Linked DNA regions of Arabidopsis thaliana. Each later gene encodes a partner of the first gene's protein in a complex. Each region holds a gene or a part of one and is shown in the gene's direction. Other genes may lie near its edges.

What was found. The genes of interacting proteins can lie anywhere in the genome.
Region 2: PnsL4 (region 1) and PnsB4 share a complex: the UniProt entries of both Arabidopsis thaliana proteins name them as parts of the chloroplast NDH complex.
Region 3: PnsL4 (region 1) and NdhO share a complex: the UniProt entries of both Arabidopsis thaliana proteins name them as parts of the chloroplast NDH complex.

What each region holds. Positions count from the first base shown.
Region 1 is NC_003075.7:18,422,599-18,430,509, reverse strand, and holds PnsL4 (FK506-binding protein 16-2), read left to right. Parts: upstream 1-1,931; 5' UTR 1,932-2,184; coding exon 2,185-2,532; intron 2,533-2,618; coding exon 2,619-2,711; intron 2,712-2,890; coding exon 2,891-2,951; intron 2,952-3,027; coding exon 3,028-3,096; intron 3,097-3,178; coding exon 3,179-3,261; 3' UTR 3,262-3,753; downstream 3,754-7,911. Other genes in the region: AT4G39720 (VQ motif-containing protein), read left to right, coding at 1-480, 1,157-1,195, 1,314-1,330; AT4G39700 (Heavy metal transport/detoxification superfamily protein), read right to left, coding at 5,604-5,908, 6,074-6,245. UniProt on the Arabidopsis thaliana protein: NDH shuttles electrons from NAD(P)H:plastoquinone, via FMN and iron-sulfur (Fe-S) centers, to quinones in the photosynthetic chain and possibly in a chloroplast respiratory chain.
Region 2 is NC_003070.9:6,458,597-6,465,109, forward strand, and holds PnsB4 (NDH dependent flow 6), read left to right. Parts: upstream 1-1,806; 5' UTR 1,807-2,028; coding exon 2,029-2,094; intron 2,095-2,170; coding exon 2,171-2,212; intron 2,213-2,247; exon of another isoform or gene 2,248-2,299; coding exon 2,300-2,477; intron 2,478-2,577; coding exon 2,578-2,633; intron 2,634-2,721; coding exon 2,722-2,793; coding exon of another isoform or gene 2,794-2,868; exon of another isoform or gene 2,869-3,247; coding exon of another isoform or gene 3,248-3,253; exon of another isoform or gene 3,254-3,397; coding exon 3,398-3,511; 3' UTR 3,512-3,748; downstream 3,749-6,513. Other genes in the region: AT1G18720 (ER membrane protein, putative (DUF962)), read right to left, coding at 700-1,062; AT1G18740 (ROH1, putative (DUF793)), read left to right, coding at 5,529-6,513. UniProt on the Arabidopsis thaliana protein: NDH shuttles electrons from NAD(P)H:plastoquinone, via FMN and iron-sulfur (Fe-S) centers, to quinones in the photosynthetic chain and possibly in a chloroplast respiratory chain.
Region 3 is NC_003070.9:28,127,063-28,132,660, reverse strand, and holds NdhO (NAD(P)H:plastoquinone dehydrogenase complex subunit O), read left to right. Parts: upstream 1-1,583; 5' UTR 1,584-1,640; coding exon 1,641-1,863; intron 1,864-1,957; coding exon 1,958-2,013; intron 2,014-2,103; coding exon 2,104-2,169; intron 2,170-2,244; coding exon 2,245-2,286; intron 2,287-2,363; coding exon 2,364-2,423; intron 2,424-2,519; coding exon 2,520-2,549; 3' UTR 2,550-2,833; downstream 2,834-5,598. Other genes in the region: ARR15 (response regulator 15), read left to right, coding at 1-80, 179-255, 464-541, 634-704, 807-1,071; AT1G74875 (F-box protein), read left to right, coding at 2,916-3,000, 3,545-4,191; AT1G74870 (RING/U-box superfamily protein), read right to left, coding at 4,386-5,116, 5,203-5,269, 5,497-5,568. UniProt on the Arabidopsis thaliana protein: NDH shuttles electrons from NAD(P)H:plastoquinone, via FMN and iron-sulfur (Fe-S) centers, to quinones in the photosynthetic chain and possibly in a chloroplast respiratory chain.

The sequences.
Region 1 (7,911 bases):
GAGCATCAAGAAGAGCACCAACGACGGTTCTAACGACGGATACTTCCAACTTCCGAGCGATGGTTCAAGAGTTTACCGGAATCCCAGCTCCACCGCTATTCAACAACAACTCCATCGTGAACACCACGCGCCTCAACACTTTCCTCGGCTTGTCTTCTTCTTCGCCAAACACTTACAACACCAACAATCTCTTGTTACGACCGTTTGCTCAAAAACTCACTCCAGCGACTCCTCTCTTATCCGGATCACAAATTCAGCAATATCAAAACCCTAACAACGGTTTCGAGGATATGAATCTGCAAGCTCTTCTTCAAGCTCATATTTCAAACCCTAGAAGCAATGAGCACGATCAGTTTGGTCTTGGTATGATGCAGACTCCATCTACTAATCCTCCTACTACAACGGCAGCGGCTAACGGGAACATAAACACCGGTGATAATGGAAGCTACGGTGGCTCCGATCATGAACATAATAATGACGGTACTTGGTTATCTTCGTCTTCCGACCAGAGAACATAAATATATTTATGTATAGTCCAAGTCCGAAATCAAAGCTAATCTCTTGACATGATTACTCAACAAATTAAACATAGCACATATAGCATGATGAAGTTACTCGTTTATATATTCTATATTTCAGTATAAACCACTTTAAAACTTTTTTCGTGTAGGGTTTGTTAATTATTTAATACTTAATTAATATGCTTGTTATTTGTTAATCTTAGTTTTTTCCATAACTATATGTTGGTAAGTATTAGTTAGTAGATGGATCTCACCATTTGAATCAGATTTTCTTGGTATATTTTCTTATAATTATATAGAACTTTTAAATTTTAATGACAACGATGACTTGCGATATGAAATTTTAATTTTTCAACAATCAATATACAGTACGTGGTTTTGGGATCACTACGGTTAATATTTCTCCTAATTAATATTGGAGTGAATGGTGGCGAAATTTGGGGAATCTTCCACGGCCGCCGGATTGTGGAATATGGTTTTGGGACCATAGTATATAATTATTAATTAATTATAGACTTGTGGTGATTTGAAATTTGATAAATTACTGTTCTCCCATGTGCTTATTCATTTTTGGTGTATCATCTACATTAACGTCAATTTTTATTGACTTGACTCTCATTTTACCATACCAACAGATTTGAAATTTGAAAATTTCCCAAGCAAAAGAAAAACAGGTAATCAATAATGATAATTATACATACATTTTGGTTTTGACCTACTTTTGTCATATGACAATTTATCTTTATAGACACTTTTACTTCTATTATTATAAGTCTCTTTGTTTGTGAATAGGGGCAAATTTCATTTGACCGCCTCCGACAACCATTGACCTTGTCACGGCTCTGAATGTGATGCGTCTACAAAATTCCTAACTTTTTTCAGTCTTCTCATTAACCAATCAATCGTTAGAATATTCAGCTTAATTTATATCTCTTTCTAGTCTCTAGCTTAACAACACTTCAGAATGAAATGTCAGTTCTTTGTAAGCGGGGTTTTCAATAATATCATTTGCTACTGTATAGTATAATAGTAACTCTTAAAAATAATAATTCTTGTTTTTCACAATAAGATTTGATGATGGATTGATGGTCGCAAAACAAATAATGACATTTGATGAAAAATCTTTTGCTTGTTCTTGTGTATACAAAAGTTCAAATGATTTTGATATTTTTTTGTCCACGGACCAGTTACACTTAAGTCACCAATGCACTGTATAACCTATACACATCACTTACATAAACTATCAACAATGTGCATATATGTGTATCTCTATCTAAATGGAATATATAATAATGGGTGATGATGATGGTTTAATATTATGGTGGTGGTTATGGTGGACCATGATATCAAGCTATTGTCGCACTGATGGGTTTTCTATGTATTCAGATGATACTCGGTTTCATAGTTGAGTGATAACTAGGTCTGGCCATTATCTTACTATCCAAATAATTCGATTCGGGTTCTCAATTTTGTGGGCCGATTGGCTCCAAAAGTTTCATTATTATTTTTGTTCTGTTGAAAATAGAAATCCAAAAAAATACGGGTGGGTCCCATAATCATATCCATTGTACCGTTGCACACTCAAAAGACAAAAGATTCAGACCAAAGGCTCTGGCTTCACGCAGATAAGGAAGCAGAGATCGAAACGAAGACTCAAAGAAGAATGGCGATTTCTACTTTAACACTCACACAATCTCTCTATACACGTTCCTTCAGACCAACCATCTTCTTTTCTTCTTCTTCTTCCTCGTCCTTTTCGTGTCTCTGTTCTTCTTCCTCCGATTGCGAGCCGAAACTCTCCGTCAAGAAACGCGTTTTCGGAGTGGGTTTAGGGTTCCTAGCTTCTTCGATTCTCTCTCTAACGCCTCTGGACGCAGACGCCACGAGGATTGACTACTACGCCACTGTAGGAGATCCTCTCTGCGAATACAGCTACGCAAAATCAGGACTTGGATTTTGCGATCTCGATGTTGGATTTGGTGATGAAGCCCCTCGTGGCGTACTCGTCAATGTAATCTCTCCATCTCTCTAATTTCCTCTGTTTAGGGTTTTTGATTCAAAGTTTGAGACTTTGGAGAGTTGGTCACACACACACAGATCCATTACACGGCGAGGTTTGCAGATGGAACGTTGTTTGACAGTAGCTATAAGCGTGCAAGACCACTTACTATGCGAATTGGAGTCGGCAAGGTACAACAAAGAACCATTGTCTCTCTCTCTCTTTGTTAGCTTCCATAGTCTTCAATTGCATTGCTAGCAAAGTTCACACTTGTCTTTGTTGAAGTTAGTTAGTTTCTTATGTTCTTCTTTGTGATTAGGGTGAGCAAAACAACTATATATCTAAACTCTTGATGTCCAAAAATGATCAGGTAATTAGGGGACTAGACCAGGGGATTCTTGGAGGCGAAGGAGTACCTCCTATGCGAGTAGGCAAGTGTACTGTATTTTCCTTTGTTCAATGTCCTTTATTTGGCTGATAACATATTGGTGCGGTTTTATTTTGCAGGCGGAAAGCGTAAACTTCAGATTCCACCTAAGTTAGCTTATGGACCAGAGCCTGCAGGATGCTTTTCTGGTACTTGCACAATTCCTCTGTAACAGTTTCACTTGTATATGTAAGATATGTATCTCGAGTAATAAATCGACTCTTTATGCAGGTGACTGCAACATACCTGGCAATGCAACTTTGCTCTATGATATCAACTTTGTTGAGATCTACCCAGGAAGTAATACAAGATGAAGCCAACTCCAATCCCGTTTGGTAAAGGAACAAACAACTATGTATGTGATGTATATCACCAGGTGATTACTTTTGACAAGCTTCAGATTATAATTTCTGTAACCTAAAACATTGATGATTTCCAACTGAATCCAATGTCTAACCTCCTATTAAAGAACAAGACACATCTTCTCTGTGCAGATCTGTCTTTTTGTTAAGTTATGACCTTGGAAAATCATATACTTGCATAAATGTATAAGCGCGTGTTAGGTTAGATTCAGTCTTGGTAAGTGATGCAGCTTGTGTCACAAAGATGTACAGAGTCTAGAATAAAGTTGTGTGATGTGGTTTTTCATCGGTGTCATATCTCTGTAATTGGTCCCCTCACAACAACTCATGAATCTTAAGGCCAAAAAAAGTGTAAAACTTTGGTTCTTGCCTACTTGAGCATGTTGAAAATACATAAGACAAATCTTCATTTTTCGATTTTCCAGGAAAAACACAGTGCATGAGCTAATTTACAGCGTACCGGAGGTTCTTAAAGGCTGATGTTAGGCCATCCTCAATGGAGGGTTCTAAGATAAATGAGGTTTTTAAAGAAATCATATATATGAAAGTTGGCCAACTCTCTCCATATGGGTGACACATCATCACATAAGAAAATATCATGTGTCATTTAATATTGATTAAATTAAAATTAGCAAAATTAATTGAGAGAAAATAAAAAATCTCATATTGTGTTAAATCCTCCATTAATTCATTTCTTAAATGATTTTTTCAAAATATAAATATAAATAAAATTACTTATTTAAATAAATCAATTACTACTTTTATTTTACTTTTATTATTTTTTATTTTTAAAAATTTTAATGGTCAATGGTCATCACTCTATAATGACTAAATAGTTGTTTATGTTGTAGTTTATTTGTTTGCTACCTAATATTAGTGTAGTTATTTTACCTTGATTTTTTAATTATTATTACGTTATGGTTCATATCTTATCATATGAAATTCTGTATTTTTATTTTTGTATCTTTAGGTAAGTTCGTAACATTGACATTCAATATTTTTAAGTAATAGACTTTTGAGACGTTAAACATACCACAAAATTCAAAACAAATCCATTTGTCTTATACGGCTATATGCAATAGTATAAAATCTAAAAAGTGTTACTAAAATAACTCTTTAATTTTTGCTTCTTTTTTTTCATACGAAAACTCTTGAAATCAAAATATCTTATATTCTTATTGTGTGTATTCATGATAATGAACAAATTTTAGAATTTTGGATATAAAAATAATCAGATTATACATGAAAATATATAAAAATTGATATTTAGAGTCAAAAATGAATCTAACAATAAAAATGTAAGTACATAAGATGAGTCTAATTTTACTAAGTATAAAATAACAAACAAAAAGTAAACATAAATTAGCGACAAAAATAATTAACATATTTTTATCTAAAGAATTTTTAAAACAAACCCACGCGTAGCGTGGGAATTCATCTAGTAATATAAAAATAAAAACATGGAAAGAAGAAGAGAAAAAATGAAGAGGAGCTCTTAGATAAGAGAATGAAGAGAGGTTTTTAATAATCAAGTAAACCACCTAAGCCACATGTCACTTATACATTGGTTCATTTTTTTCTTAAACTTAAAATTTATTTATATAATAATATTATAATAAAATAATCATTGTTATTGTTGTTAAGAGGTTTTTAATAAGAGCTTATTGTTGAGGATGCTCTTACTTTGTTTACACCTGAAGACTGAAGAGCAAGAATCATATCAGTAAAAATTGTTGAATAAGTCCTTTAAAATATAGTATGGTGGGGGTAGTTGTATGTATAGAAAGATTACATGACCCGTGTATGTTATGATACACAGTTTTTTTAAGCTTTATGTGATCGATCTTTACTATCCATTTTTGGATTTTTCTTTTAATAATGTATGTAAAAGAGAAAGAGAGTGGGTGAAAAGAGTTAGAATATTGGGGTCCCAAAAAACTAAACTCAAATTAAAAGACCATGAAACACCTTAACCAAAAACAAACGTCTTTGTTATTGTTTTGTAAGTTTGAAACTAGCATAGAAAAAATTAACTAGTTTCCACTTATATCTTCCAATGATAGTAAACAATGATTACTTACGATATCCAATTGATTAAGCTAATATAATACTAGATCTATATTAATATTAATAAAACATTCACTTGTAACACCAACAAAGAGCACATGCAAAAGAAGACAAAACCATGAACTAAAAGAGAACAAACACCAAAATTTATAACCCACATTTATGCATATATTACCGGCATATATTATATAAATTCCTTTATAAATTATCTAATAAATAAAAAAAAACTACATAATAGAGCAAGCATTAGGATTATCATCACTAAACAAAGAAGTATAAGAAGGGTCATCGTAGTAAACAGCCATCGTCCCGGTGGTGACGTTTGGGTCAACTTTTCTGACGTAACCAGGCGGTGCTTTCTTATCATAAGCCTGAGCTATGTACGGCTGAGCCACCAAGTTGTACGGTACGTACGGCCATATCTCGGCTTTCTTCCCCGTCGCTTTAGCCTTCTTCAGCACCTTGCTCGCATCCGCATAACCACTCACTGTCACCTTCTGTTGCTTCTTGTTTATCTCCACCGTTTTCACTCCTGAAAATATATGAAGGAAGATTTTTCATGTTATATATATGCATGCATGATGATTGATGCATGTATTTATATAAGTTTTAGATAGGAGTAAGCAAACACATCTCATAAGGGACAGTAACACAAATTCGGACGAGAATTTTGATTATAAAAGAAGAAGCTAGTTACCTTTTAGAGAAGAAAGAGAGTTTTTGATTTTGAGGACACAACCATCACAATCCATCCTAACTTTGAGCTCTACTGTTTGAAACTGCTTCTTCTTCTTCCTTTTTCCATAACTATGGCTTCCTCCATTCCCTATTAGCTCTGATATATACTCCAACGTTCCCCCAACTCCCATCTTGTTGATTTTATCTTTGACTTGTGTCTTCTTTTTATCAAGAAAATTCACAGATAAAGGCGATTAGTAATGGGTATAATTCTTTTCACTCTGGCTCTCAATATGTGTTATGTGTTTGTATAGATATTTGTTTTGGTTTCAGTTTGCAATGAGTTGTTAGCTTGGTTGCCTCGACTTATAAAGGCCTTAATTTGATATTTTAATAAAGAATTACTTTTGTGTATATAATTGTATTGGTACGAAAGAAAAAGTATGTTGTTGTGTTTATAATTGACACAAATTTGGCCAACTTTATAAAAAATAGAAAAAGATGTCTTTAAGAACTTAGACCGTAAGCAATATATATGCCAATTGCCAAAGACCTTGTGGTTTAGTTAAGAAGATATTTGATGGGAAAAGTGGAACTAAAGGGATATATACGCTTTAAAACCATACTAAATTCAATCATTTAAAGTATTTTTGTAACCAATTGTTTTTTTGGTTCATATTTGTATCCAATTGTTGAACAAATGTATATATGTTACTATTTTAACTTAGCATATATACGAAGGTAAGCTTTGTAGGGAAAAGGGAATCCATGTGATGTGAATACAACTAAATCATGGAATAATAACTTTAGGTATTTTTATTTAAATCTTGTTGTTCTTCACAAGGAAGACAGAAAGAAGGTGAGAGAGCCATGCATTTATTAACGAATTCATACTAATTTATCTAAAGCATAATTAATAGTCGGTTCATTATTAAATTAATTAGGATCAATGATCAAATTTAGCAAAATTTAAAGGTGATATATAAAAATAGCAAGAACCATCGTGGAGATTTATAAAGTTAATATTTACTCACTACGAGACAGCTTCACACGTATGGGGAAGAGATCTCGAGCGTTCAATTGTATACGTGGCAATATGACGGCGCCGATTGGAATACGCGTGTGAGGCTGTCTCCTTATTGGAGGAGTTGTGCCACCTCCCCTCTCAACTTAGCTAGCTGTTTCATAGTATGTATTACATTCTCTTCACGTATTCATAATTTTACGTAATAATTCAATAGTAGATATACAAAAACTCATATAATTATCTGGAATGAAGCTAGGGAATATTTTCAACTCCTCAAAATTGAATTTGTATGTTTATTATCGTCCAGCAAATACAAATACGTACATGTAATTAAAGTCGTTCTTTTTATCTTGAATATAGGGACAATTTTGTTTCTTTCGTCTATCAATAAACAGAACTTGTCATAAATTCGAATCTTTGCCTTTTTGGTAACTCATACTAATACCAACGGTTAGCTGACATAATAAATTGTAGTTATATGTATCTATGAATATATGAAGGGGACTCCACTCGAATAATTAGTGGCAAGTTAGTTGACAAGAATTTATAAATTTTCTGTTATATATATAAAAATATAGATAAGAATATGAAGGTGACTCCTCACTCGATCGAAATAATTAGTGGTAAGTTAGCTGACAAAATTTTATAATGTTTTGGAGTTGTCGAGCAAACCTTCAACGTTCGGTACATATAATAACAAGTTTATGCACTCTATTTAAAGACTGTCGATAAGAAGTTTCCGGCAGCCGTTAGATATTTATTTAAATGTATTTCCTAACTCCTAATTGTATTTTATATGGCATCATTGGCATGATTCTATACGAGTTTAT
Region 2 (6,513 bases), on another chromosome or scaffold:
TTGCTGTTGAATACATATAACAAACTAATCAAATGATTCAGACTGAAGATACATATAAACTAATCAAATGATTCACAACACAGAAGATACATAAAAAAGCTCCTAAGTTACAGATGTCTCAAATACTATGGAAGAAAAACCAAACTTTAGTTAAACAAGTGATGTAGATTCTAATTATCTGAGACCATCCAAATGTTGGTGGTCAAGAACAACACTTGTTTCCGTCCAAGCACACATCAAATCCTCTTAACCAATGAGTCAACAACACTAAAAACATGACAAGTCTCCGGACCAAAGAATCAGAACCGTGCAAAGGTGGACAATTGCAGAACAAACTGCAATAACTACTAATCATGAATGTTCAAAGCTAGAGACATGATATTAGTACTGCTGTCTCAACGTTAACAGCTAATGAAGGGACCCATAGACAACAGATAGAGAGGACTAATGATATAAATAAATCTATTTCTTCTTCCCCGAGCATAACCAATGATATAAACGAACTTTCAAGTCAAAGCATAGAAAACAATGAACAATAAATGCATGAACCACACTCACATCATATAAATATACACATAGAGCAACACATGGATACACATAGTCATATACCCTCATAAACATGCTTCTACGCAATTATTTTCTCCAAAAATGAAGTTTTTTCAAAAACCCTAAATTGAAATTAGAGAAAAAAAATCTAACCTTTAAGGCAAGAGAAGATCCTAGTCGAACAGCAAGAAAACTGGAACCAACCCAGCAAGAGAAACACATAAGAGCAGCTACAAATCCAGATTTCTTATCCAAACCGATATAGAACAGAGCATAAATCAAGGCGAATATAAACCCAACGTTAAATCGCAAAACGCCGTCGAGGGTCAACGATTGAGAAAACCCTAATTGAGAGGGGTCGAAAATTGGGGTCGACGAGTGGAGGAGAAGTAAAACTGAGAAGAAGATTGGCCAAACGAAGATGATGTGGATTAGAATGTTGATCGGATTGCTATGGTAAGCACCGTAGAAGGCGAAGTGTTTCTCGAGATCGAACAATCCCATTATGCGACTCATGGATAAAAAATTCGTTGAGGAAGAGGTGTTTTTATGAGGAGAAGATCGGTGGAAATTGGATAATAGTCACCAAACAGAGGAGATTAAAGATATACACGGGAAGAAGACGAAAGTGGAAAGTTTGATTAGCAATTTCCCGAAAATGATGCTAACGTGCGCTTTTTAATAGCTAACATGCGCTTTTTAAAGCGATAGAAGTTGACTTGGCCGGAGATTTTCTTCCGACTTTTGACAAAATACTAGTCGCTAAGAAGAGTAGACGTGTTATTGTGATTGCTAACATGCGCGAATAAAAGCTGGTTTAGATGGATATACATCATTGAAAGTTTGGCAAATAGAACATACACTATTCAACGAATGATGTATTTGGGATGATTGCTAACATGCGCGCATAGGAAGTTGAATTAGATGGAAATATCATTAAAAGTTTGGCAATAGTTGCCAACGTACGCTATTCAACAAATGATGTATTTGGGAAGAGACATAAGCGGAAAGTTTGAATTTCACCAACCAAAGATTTATTAGCAATTTTAGTGTGGTTACTAACTTGCACGTCTAGAGGAGTGAACGTGTTTAGTGATTGCTAACCTGCGCGAATGGAAAGTTTGTTGGACGGGTAAAATACGAAAGTTTGTAGTTGAATTTTGCTGGAAATATCTTTACCACTCTTTAAGGCAAATAGTTGTTCCCAACCTGAGCGTTTTAGAAGGCTAAAATGTGTACTGTGATTGTCTAAATTGGGCTTTTAAAAGACAAAAAAAGTGTTATGCGATGTGATTGCTAACGTACGTTATTTTTTTATTTTGTTTATCACAAAAGTGAAGAGTGGACGATACCAATTCCCTTATCCACACATTTTCTGCCTCAAAAAATCTAATCTTAAAGATTAAAATAAATGAAAAAATAAAAAAGATTACACCAACATTTTTTTTTTTTCTTCTCCATTGCCACCATCAAGAAGTAACAATGGCTGAAGCTTTCACAAGTTTCACCTTCACAAATCTTCATATTCCTTCTTCCTACAATCACTCGGTACATATTATTTTATATTCTTACCAAAAATATTTCATTACGAAAAAAAGTTTAAGAATTGTGTATTGTGTTGTAGCCGAAGCAGAATTCAGGACCGAATCATGGATATTGGCTATCTGTAAGTAATTTTCTCTAACTAAGACTAAAATTAGAAAAAAAATCTCCATATTCTTGTGAATTTACGTCTTAGAATTTGAAAAATTAGAAGAATGTTAATGAGAAGAGGGAAAGGAATTTGATGAGAGGAAGCTTATGTGTAAGAAAGGCATTGCCACATGATTTGCCATTAATGGCTGTGATGGTTCAACAAATAGAAGGAATGCGTGATATCATTACAGAGAAACACGTGTGGCATCTAAGTGATAAAGCTATCAAGAATGTTTGTAAGTTAAACACTTGGGGTTTCTTGAGAGATTTTATTTTCTTTCTTAGACTTTTTTTTCTTCTTTTTCTTATGTTTTGATATTGATCTTGATATGGCAGATATGTTCTACATCATGTTCACTTGTTGGGGATGTTTGTACTTCGGTTCAGCAAAAGTATGAAAACAACAACTCAAACTGAATCTTTTGATACATTTGCTGCATTGGGATCTTAATAGTACTTTGTGATATTGGATCAATACAGGATCCATTCTACGACTCAGAGGAGTACCGTGGAGATGGAGGGGATGGAACTGGATATTGGGTCTATGAAACTGTATGTATCTCTCCCTTTCTAATACTATTAGGAAAGAAAGAAAAAAACTTAGAAATGCATACAAATTATAACTAGGGATGTTGCAATGGACCGACCAACCCGCTGTGGTCTTACTAGACCCTGTGGACCAGTTCAGATCTAGTTTGACCTCAGACTATCCCACCTTGGTCTTAGTAGGCCATGTAGACCTGTTCAGAGCCGGTTTTGAGTACTCCTCCATGTGTCTCAGCATGCGATAAACCTCCCTAAACAAAGAAAAATAGGTGGCTTTTAGGTTAGCGTTTACCGTTGGTATATATGCACCCAAAAATATGAATCCACAACCTTGATCATCTAAACGAAAGTCACAATCTGATAGATGGTAGGTAACATTGATCCATCCTATTGATAGATCAATCATGCTTAGTAAGTTTGAGCCGGGTTGGGCTTGATATAATAATTCAAACGTTAACAGATCTGATGGTAGGTAACATTGATCCTAAGTTGGGTCGGGCTGGGCTTGCTCGGGCCATTGACCTTTGGTATATCATCACAGATTCACAATGTGTACAACTATTATAAGATTGGATAGAGTTGTTATTGTGTTTTGGGTTATATGATGCAGCAAGAAGACATAGAAGAGAAAGCAAGAGCGGAGCTATGGCGTGAAGAACTTATCGAAGAAATTGAACAGAAGGTTGGTGGCTTAAGAGAGCTTGAAGAAGCTGTTACTAAGTAGAAAACTAACTTGTGAATCATAAACCACTTTACATACACATTATATATTTTCTTATATCAGTCATGCAACATTATATATACTCTCTAGCTTCCATATATATAATATATGTTATGTACTTCTTTGTTGTCTTGTGTTCTGAATCATTGAACGATCATGTTAGGAGCAATTGTCTCCTTCAGAAATTTATTGTTGACGACATCCGATGTCTTAAAAATATAAATAATTATGTTTGGTAAACTATCTTAATTTGCTTTTCTTGATTTCTTCGGTCGCAAGTTGGTCAGAGTGAATATTTATTATTTTTAAGTATAAAAAATTTAGTCAATTGGGGCTAAATTAATTGGTCGTATAGACTGGAAAGTGAGTCTGATGAGGAACAATTAGCGGGAAATACGCTTCTGCACGATTCTACCTGACAAAAACCAAAACTAATCAATCTTTAAAAACAAAAAATAAGTTAGCAGAGGTGAAGAAGGAGAGCTTGTCATGTCTTTGTCAGTAACCTTCGTGCTTCCATGTTTCAAAGCCTCTTCGAGCTTGTAATTGTAAACCACACGTGTGGTTTATTGTTTTTGTTTTCTTTTCAAATTTAAGTTTAATTTTCAGATATTTCTTTTTTTTGTGTGTGTGTTAGGAACACATGACAGGAGATATGATGTAACATTTTTATTTAAACAAAAAAAAGATCTGCATCACTGCATGTAGTGTATTTTGTCGTGTGTCAATTAATTCTTATAGTTGTACAATTTTAATTCTGGCCCAAACATGATTGATGACTTGTTAATGACACATATTTACCATATTCCATTATAATTATTTTTTTTCATTATACAGTTTCATAATAATACATTTCAATTTTCGGTTACCAAAAAACACCATTACACATTTCAACACAAAATTTATACTATCATACGATTATATAGACAATCTCGTTTCCGTCAGCCTCCTTGTGGATCTTGAATGTTCAATCCACACCTCCACATTTTGTAAGTAAGATCTTGAAACTCCTTCTTCAAACCTCGATCTATCTGATTAATAATGAGCGTAATAAAACGATTTTCTCAAATGAATCTAGTACCATCCATGCTACTGAGTCTCTTGTTACGCACTATACGCAGTCGTCTCATCTCCTTCTCGCTGGAGGATATCACTATCAGCATTTCTCTCCTTGAGTTTTACTTTGGTTCTATCAATTCACCTCATTAGTTGTGATACAACTCATAGTTATCTCTTTTAATAAAATGTTATATTAGCCTTTTTTGGTGTGTTTTTGAGATTTTCATTGTACAATGTACACCTTTTTTTTTATTTGGTGTAAAGTTTAACATTAAACCAAAAAAAAAAAGGATATAGACAAAATTACATGTCAACATTTTTGTGTCCTTGAGCATTCTAGAACGACGAGAAAGAATCAACCAGGACCGAGTCCCTTTACTTACCAATCTCTCTCTTCAATACACGCCAACGAAGACTTAGCTGGCTTTTTATCCACATGTGCATTGCATTGACCAAGTCTCTGTCACAGCTCCCATTTTCTCCACGTGGCACCCATTAATGTCTCATTCTCGACTTCATATACCACAGCCCCGTGACCAATGAATTTCCTCAAACTGAGATTTTATTACAGACAGATCTGTGTACTTTTATTTTATTACCACTAGACGTGTCCACTGCGTGTACTGTACCGAGTAACAAAAAGAGAAAATAAAAAAGGAATGAGAACACACAACAAATCAAATTATAGCTTTTATTTCGTCACACCTTTCTTTTTATTTAGTTAAGGAAAATGAGAAAATTATCCAATATTGAATGTTTCTAAAGCAGATATTAAAATACGCGGTCAAAATTCTCGCTTTATAAACACATCTCTTCTTCTTCTAGCTTTCATCAATCATCATCATCACTCTCTCTCAATCCAACAAAGAAAAAAAAAGTCTTCTTCTTTTTTTACAAGTCTGAGAATTTTCTACAGAAACAAAAATCTGATTGTTTTTCCCACTTTGCATCTGTTTTGAGGATGCCAGCTACGGATTTTCAAGGATCATTTGGAAGGTCGTTGCTAAGTTTACGGCGAGACCAAGTTGACTCATCAACAGTCGTCTCCGGAAGTAGTAGCCACCACGAGCCAAGCACCATGGAGGTTGAGCTAGATTCGTTTCAAAGACAAGTCGCTGAGAAATTCATCGATCTCAACGCTTCTTCAAACGACCTTCTCTCTCTCGAATGGATCGGAAAGCTTCTTGATTCTTTCCTCTGTTGTCAAGAAGAGTTTCGAGCTATCGTATTCAACCACCGATCTCAGATCTCTAAATCTCCGATGGACCGTTTGATTTCAGATTACTTCGAACGGAGCATCAAAGCTCTAGATGTCTGTAACGCCATCCGCGACGGTATCGAACAGATCCGTCAATGGGAGAAACTTGCCGATATTGTGATCTCTGCTTTAGATAGTCACCGTCCGATCGGAGAAGGTCAGCTCCGGCGAGCTAAGAAAGCTCTGATTGATTTAGCAATCGGAATGCTTGACGAGAAAGATCATCCTTCTGGAACCAATCTAGCTCATCGTAACCGTTCATTCGGAAGAGTCAAAGACAGTCACCACCGTTCGATTGGTCATTTCAGATCTCTTTCTTGGAGTGTTTCAAGATCATGGTCAGCTTCTAAGCAGTTACAAGCTTTAGCGAGTAACTTGGCAACGCCTCGACCAAACGATGTCGTTGCTAGCAATGGTTTAGCTGTACCGGTTTACACAATGACTTCGGTTTTGCTTTTTGTGATGTGGGTTTTGGTAGCTGCGATTCCTTGTCAAGACCGTGGATTGCAAGTTAACTTCTTTGTGCCTAGGCATTTCCAATGGGCAGCTCCGGTTATGTCGTTGCACGATAAGATTGTTGAGGAATCTAAGAGAAGAGATAGGAAGAATTGTTGTGGTTTGCTTAAGGAGATTGATAGGATTGAGAAGAGTTCGAGGTTGATGAATGAATTGATCGATTCGATTCATT
Region 3 (5,598 bases), on another chromosome or scaffold:
GTTACATGTTCTTGCCGTTGATGATAGTTTCGTGGATCGTAAAGTTATTGAGAGATTGCTTAAGATCTCTGCTTGTAAAGGTAAAAGGCAAAACTGTTTCTCTTTACGTTTTCTGCTTTTCTTTTGTTTGGTTTCTGATTCGTTTTTTTGGATAAATTTGGTGGGTTTCTTTATATAGTGACGACTGTTGAGAGTGGGACTAGGGCTCTGCAGTATCTTGGTTTAGATGGAGACAATGGATCTTCTGGTCTTAAGGTATATATTCATTCATTTCTTAGAATCTCTCTGTTTTCTAGCAAAATCAACCCTAGACGTTGAAACTTGAAGTGTTCTTATGCTGGTTTGGCTCCCAAGAAATCTAAGGTTTCACAATGTGGATCAAAAGTTTAACCTTTAGAGGATGATTTTATTATTTGTTTATTGATGCCGTTTATATGAACAATTTTGCAAATTTTGATAACAGGATTTGAAAGTGAACTTGATAGTGACGGATTATTCAATGCCGGGACTAACAGGATATGAACTCCTCAAGAAGATCAAAGTAAATTTCTATTTTGTGTCATTTATTAGAGCAAGATTTGAATAAGCTCTTCTCGTGTTTTCCTTACAAAAATTCTGTTGTATATTTGCCAGGAGTCTTCAGCACTCAGAGAAATCCCAGTAGTGATAATGTCTTCTGAGAACATACAACCTCGTATAGAACAGTAAGTCACTATAGCTAAAGATACAAAACTGAATCAATGGATCTTAACACTGTAATCTGATTTTTTTGTCTATCCTCTCTTTTGTTGTTGTTGTTGTTGTAGATGTATGATAGAAGGAGCAGAGGAGTTTTTGCTAAAACCGGTGAAATTAGCTGATGTGAAGCGTTTAAAAGAACTTATAATGAGAGGTGGTGAAGCTGAAGAAGGAAAAACCAAAAAACTTAGTCCTAAGAGAATCCTACAAAACGACATTGATTCATCTCCATCATCATCATCAACATCTTCATCATCGTCGTCTCATGATGTTTCCTCCCTTGATGACGACACTCCATCTTCCAAGAGGATCAAATTAGAGTCTAGGGGTTAAATGATTGAGCTCAATCTTTTCTCACGTTTTCTCTTGATTTCCTTGTGTAATATACATTATTTTTGATATATGCAACTATGTAAGTCTAGATTCTAATGCTCACCTTATTACTCTGTTTTTTTTTTTTGTTAAAACAAAAGGAGATCAATGTGAATATGATTTAAACAATTTTATAAAATTAAATACTTTGCCTACAGTATATATATTGTTTCCTACTTCACAACCAGATCAATTAGATTCTATAATGTAACATATAATTTAAAAGTACACGTAAAAAGATTTTGTATATGATCTTCCATGTGACATACACGATTTCACTTGTATGTGTTTATAATTCATAAACTTTCAAGCATCAGAAAACAAAAAAAAACGAATATAATCTTTGTTGGAATACATTATCTATTACTATATTCCTAGTTGTATAGCAGAGGAAACTTGTTTGCACTTACGTGGCATCTTATGATTGGTTCAGTGATGTCTGTTTTAGACCGTTGAGAGACTTGGATACCATTGCGGTCTTATCCCGAAACTCCAAGAACACATAATTTTTTTTCTTGGTGGTCTCTCCAATGGCTTTCTCTGCGACTGTGTCTCAGCTTTCTTCTCTTTCAACCATCTCCTCTTCATTACCAATTTCTTCTAGAAGACTCCCTCATCGATCTCTTCCTCAATTCACAGTCAAAGCAGAAGCAGAGAAAGAGAAACAGAGCACACAGGGCAAGTCTGATGGGGAAGCATCACCAGCTGCAACCAAAACCCCTAAAACCCTCCCCAAGAAACCGGTTTACTCGAGTCTGTTCCCTCACTTTTGTTTCTAAGTGTTGAATCCAATAACAGATTTTTGATAATTCTTTTGAATTTCTGTTTCTGGTGGATGAGAAAACAGTGAAGAAGGGCCAAATCGTTCGTGTGGAAAAAGAGAAGTACCTCAACAGCATCAATGTATAGTCGAAATCTTTCCCAGTTTTGAAGCTGCTTCTTCAAAAATCTGTTTCTGAAACTTTTGTTTTGCTACATTTGTTGAAATTACAGTACTTATCAGTTGGACATCCTCCTTTCTACAAAGGACTTGATTACATATACGAAGATCGCGGCGAGGTATAACACAATCCCTTTTGAAAATAAATCACAAGAGATTTCAAGCTTATTGAACAAGTAATCTAAATCTTGCAGGTCTTGGACCTTCGTGTCTTTGAGACAGGAGAGTATGCACTTGTAAGTCAGTCTCCACACAAATTGTTTATTCTGTTTCATAAGATGAGCTAATGGATTGTGAATTTTGGAGACTTTAGGTTGGATGGGTTGGTATCCCCACCGCACCAGCTTGGCTCCCAACAGATATGCTCATCAAGGTACTCATAATTTTCTCAGTACATCAACAATACGTAGCATTGTCTTGATGTCAAGTCATGATTGTTTCTGTGTTCTTGGTTTTTGTTCCACCGCAGTGTGAGAAACTTGTTTACGAGCGAATGTAGAGTCAAGAAGGTTCCAAGAAGAATCCTTTGGAATGCAACTGATATACCAAGGATTGTGTTAAGCTGAGATGAACGATAACAATGGCGCACCATCATGATCATGTGTTCAAGAGTTTGACAAAGTATCAACGTTACAATTAGTTACAAAAACTGTTGTGGAGTGTGGAATATGTCATCAGACTCCTATAATAAGAATGCAGCTTCAGTAAACGGATGATGGTAATTTTATCTCATCGATCTCCCAACATAAACTCATTTCTCACAGCTTCATAAAATTTCCTCTGGTTTTGTCTTTGGCTTCCACTTTCCGAAAACCGGAAACTTCTTCATCATCACAAATATAACTACTGACCTAATGGACGGATGATGGTAAATTTAGGTGCTCTAAACGACGAAGACAAGCGGAAGTGTGCCAACATGTTTCAAATTCACCTCGTAATCAATGTATTATGTATGTGACTAGGAGAGTAACAAGACACAAAGCCAATCTCATCTCTCACAACTTCATTAAACAATCCTTTCCTCTGCTTTGTCTTTGACTTCCATTTTCTGATAAATTCTTCATCATCACAAAAATACTATTGACGTGATGGTGATGTTAGTGGGTTTCCTATGATTTCTCCTTTTGGGTTTTCCCATTGGTGAACGGTGAATGAGAGAATCTAGGGTTTGGATTTGTTCTCCATACAAGGATTTAATCCCATTATTATGTATTTTTCCTTTTTTTTTTTAAAGCTTTTTTAGATTTTATTTATTTTTAATCTTTTGGCTTATTCTAAACTTTTGTATTACTTCCTTTTCCTATTAGGAATAGGAAATCTAAACATTGTTATAAAAACCCGAGTCAACAAATCAAGAGAGAAAACAATACTCACAATCTTAAACAAACCATAGTACTTTTTCTTCTTTCAAGAATTCCCACAGAATGACAGTTTCTGTTTCTCTAGATTCTCTACCTGAAGACCTTCTTGTAGAGATCTCTTAATGTGTTGCAGCTTCATCATTATCCGAGTTTCGCAATCTTCAATTAGTTTCGAAATCGTTTAAACGTATCAGCAACGATCGATACATTCTGCAGCGGCTTTCCCTCAATAAAATCCCTCTTTTACCATGGCGCAACCGTAAAAAATTTCACAATTTTTTCAAAAGATGTCGCAAGAGTGGAAACCTAGAGGCTATATACCGTAAAGGACTTGTCGATTACTTTCATCGGGATAGTCATGAACGTCAACGAGACAGAGGACTCAAACATATAGCAAAAACTGCAAACAATGGAAATCAAGAAGCACAATATGTTTATGGGTTGATCCTAATTTGTCTTGGTGGCAAAACAAAACAAAATGGTTTCAAGATCTTGTCTTCTCTACGAAAACCTTTGATGTTGTCAAATACGATCAAGGAGATGGAAAAACATCGGACACATATCAGAAATATGTGGTGGTGGGGCGAACCGATGATGAGACACCTACAAAAAAGCTATGTTCGTGAGAACTGCAATTGCGATGGTCGAACCGAGATCTTTCCCAACTATTGTTTTCGTCATCGTTTTGGTGAGGACGACGACATGCTTACTTCTTCCGCTTGTGAGATATGTTTGTGCCATCATGAAGTCAAACTTTTCTTTGCTAATATTAAGGAATGATCTTTTGATGTATCGAATAAAAGACTAATATTGGTTTATGTGTATTATATGATTCACAAACATGAATGAAAATTTATTGCCGAGATGACAACAATCTAATTAAGCAAAACCACAAAATTCTTGTTCCTGATGAAACTAAGGACAAAACTAGAAAAAAAGTTTCATGAAACTTTTGGAACTTCTTTCTTTCTCTCTTAAGCTCTGTCAAGTCCTCTAAACGACGGAGACAAGGGAATAGTGCCACGACCACGTTGCTGATAACCTACTTCTCCACTTTTTTTACTCGTCTTTTTATAATCCTTCCTGCAAGCTGGACAACGTGCTTCGTTTTCACTGATCTTGTTATGGCAAAAGAGACAAATCCGAAACCCACAAGTACATGGTTCGAATTCTAGATCCGTTGCATCCATCAACTCAGAGCAAATAGGACATTCTTCATCACCATCACCTCTTTGCTTCTCAGAGTTAGACCTCTTCTTCTTATTACTGTTTCTGTGAATCGTCGTCTGATTTCCAGGTGCAGCTTCTTGCTTGCACTTGTTCATCCTCTGGCTTGTATCTGGAATCAGATCTTCTTCTTCTTGCTCAAAATCTTCTGTCACAAGTCGAGAGCTTTCGTTGTTATCATTCTCAAAGGAGTTTAACGCATCTTTAAACCCATCCCAGTTATCATAAGCATCGTCAAAAACTTCTTCCTCTTCCTCAGTCATCTGCTTAGAACAACAAAAGCAATCACCACTAACAGAATCTTTCCTCTTGAGAACACTCGTGGGACTACTAGCAAATGATGATGTCCTTTCAAGATCAATCTCATCATCCTCATCATCATCATAATCAATCCTCCAAGCTTTTTGATCAGTCAGTTTCTCTAACAAAGATCTCAATCTACGTCCAATTTCTTCTTCATCTACATTTGCTTTTTTCCCTATACCATTCACAAACAAATTCATCATCATCAACACTCGAAAGATTGAACAAAACTTGAAAACTTAAAGATTCAAAGGCTCTTACATTGAGAAATCCATTGTTTGCGACGAGCATCAATCTTCCACTGCTTCAGCTTACAAAACCAATTCGCCTGCAAATGCACACAAGATTCGATGCATAGATTAAGAATTGACGATTATCAACCCTAAAAGGTATCCACATGACAACGAAAAACACGGTTCTTCGAATCACACAGAAACTGGGGATTTGGTATTAGACGCGGATCGATTATACTTTTCTTTTGAATCAAGCGTACATACTCGGATACAAGAAACGAATCGACCGCATTAAGATTGGAGTGAAATTCGAAGAACACACCTTGCGTTTCTTGGAGAAATCTGTTGAAATCGGAGAGCCATGAAAGAGTTCAGAGTCTGTGACAGCAACCATGATGATGATAATCTTTGAGCAACACACACA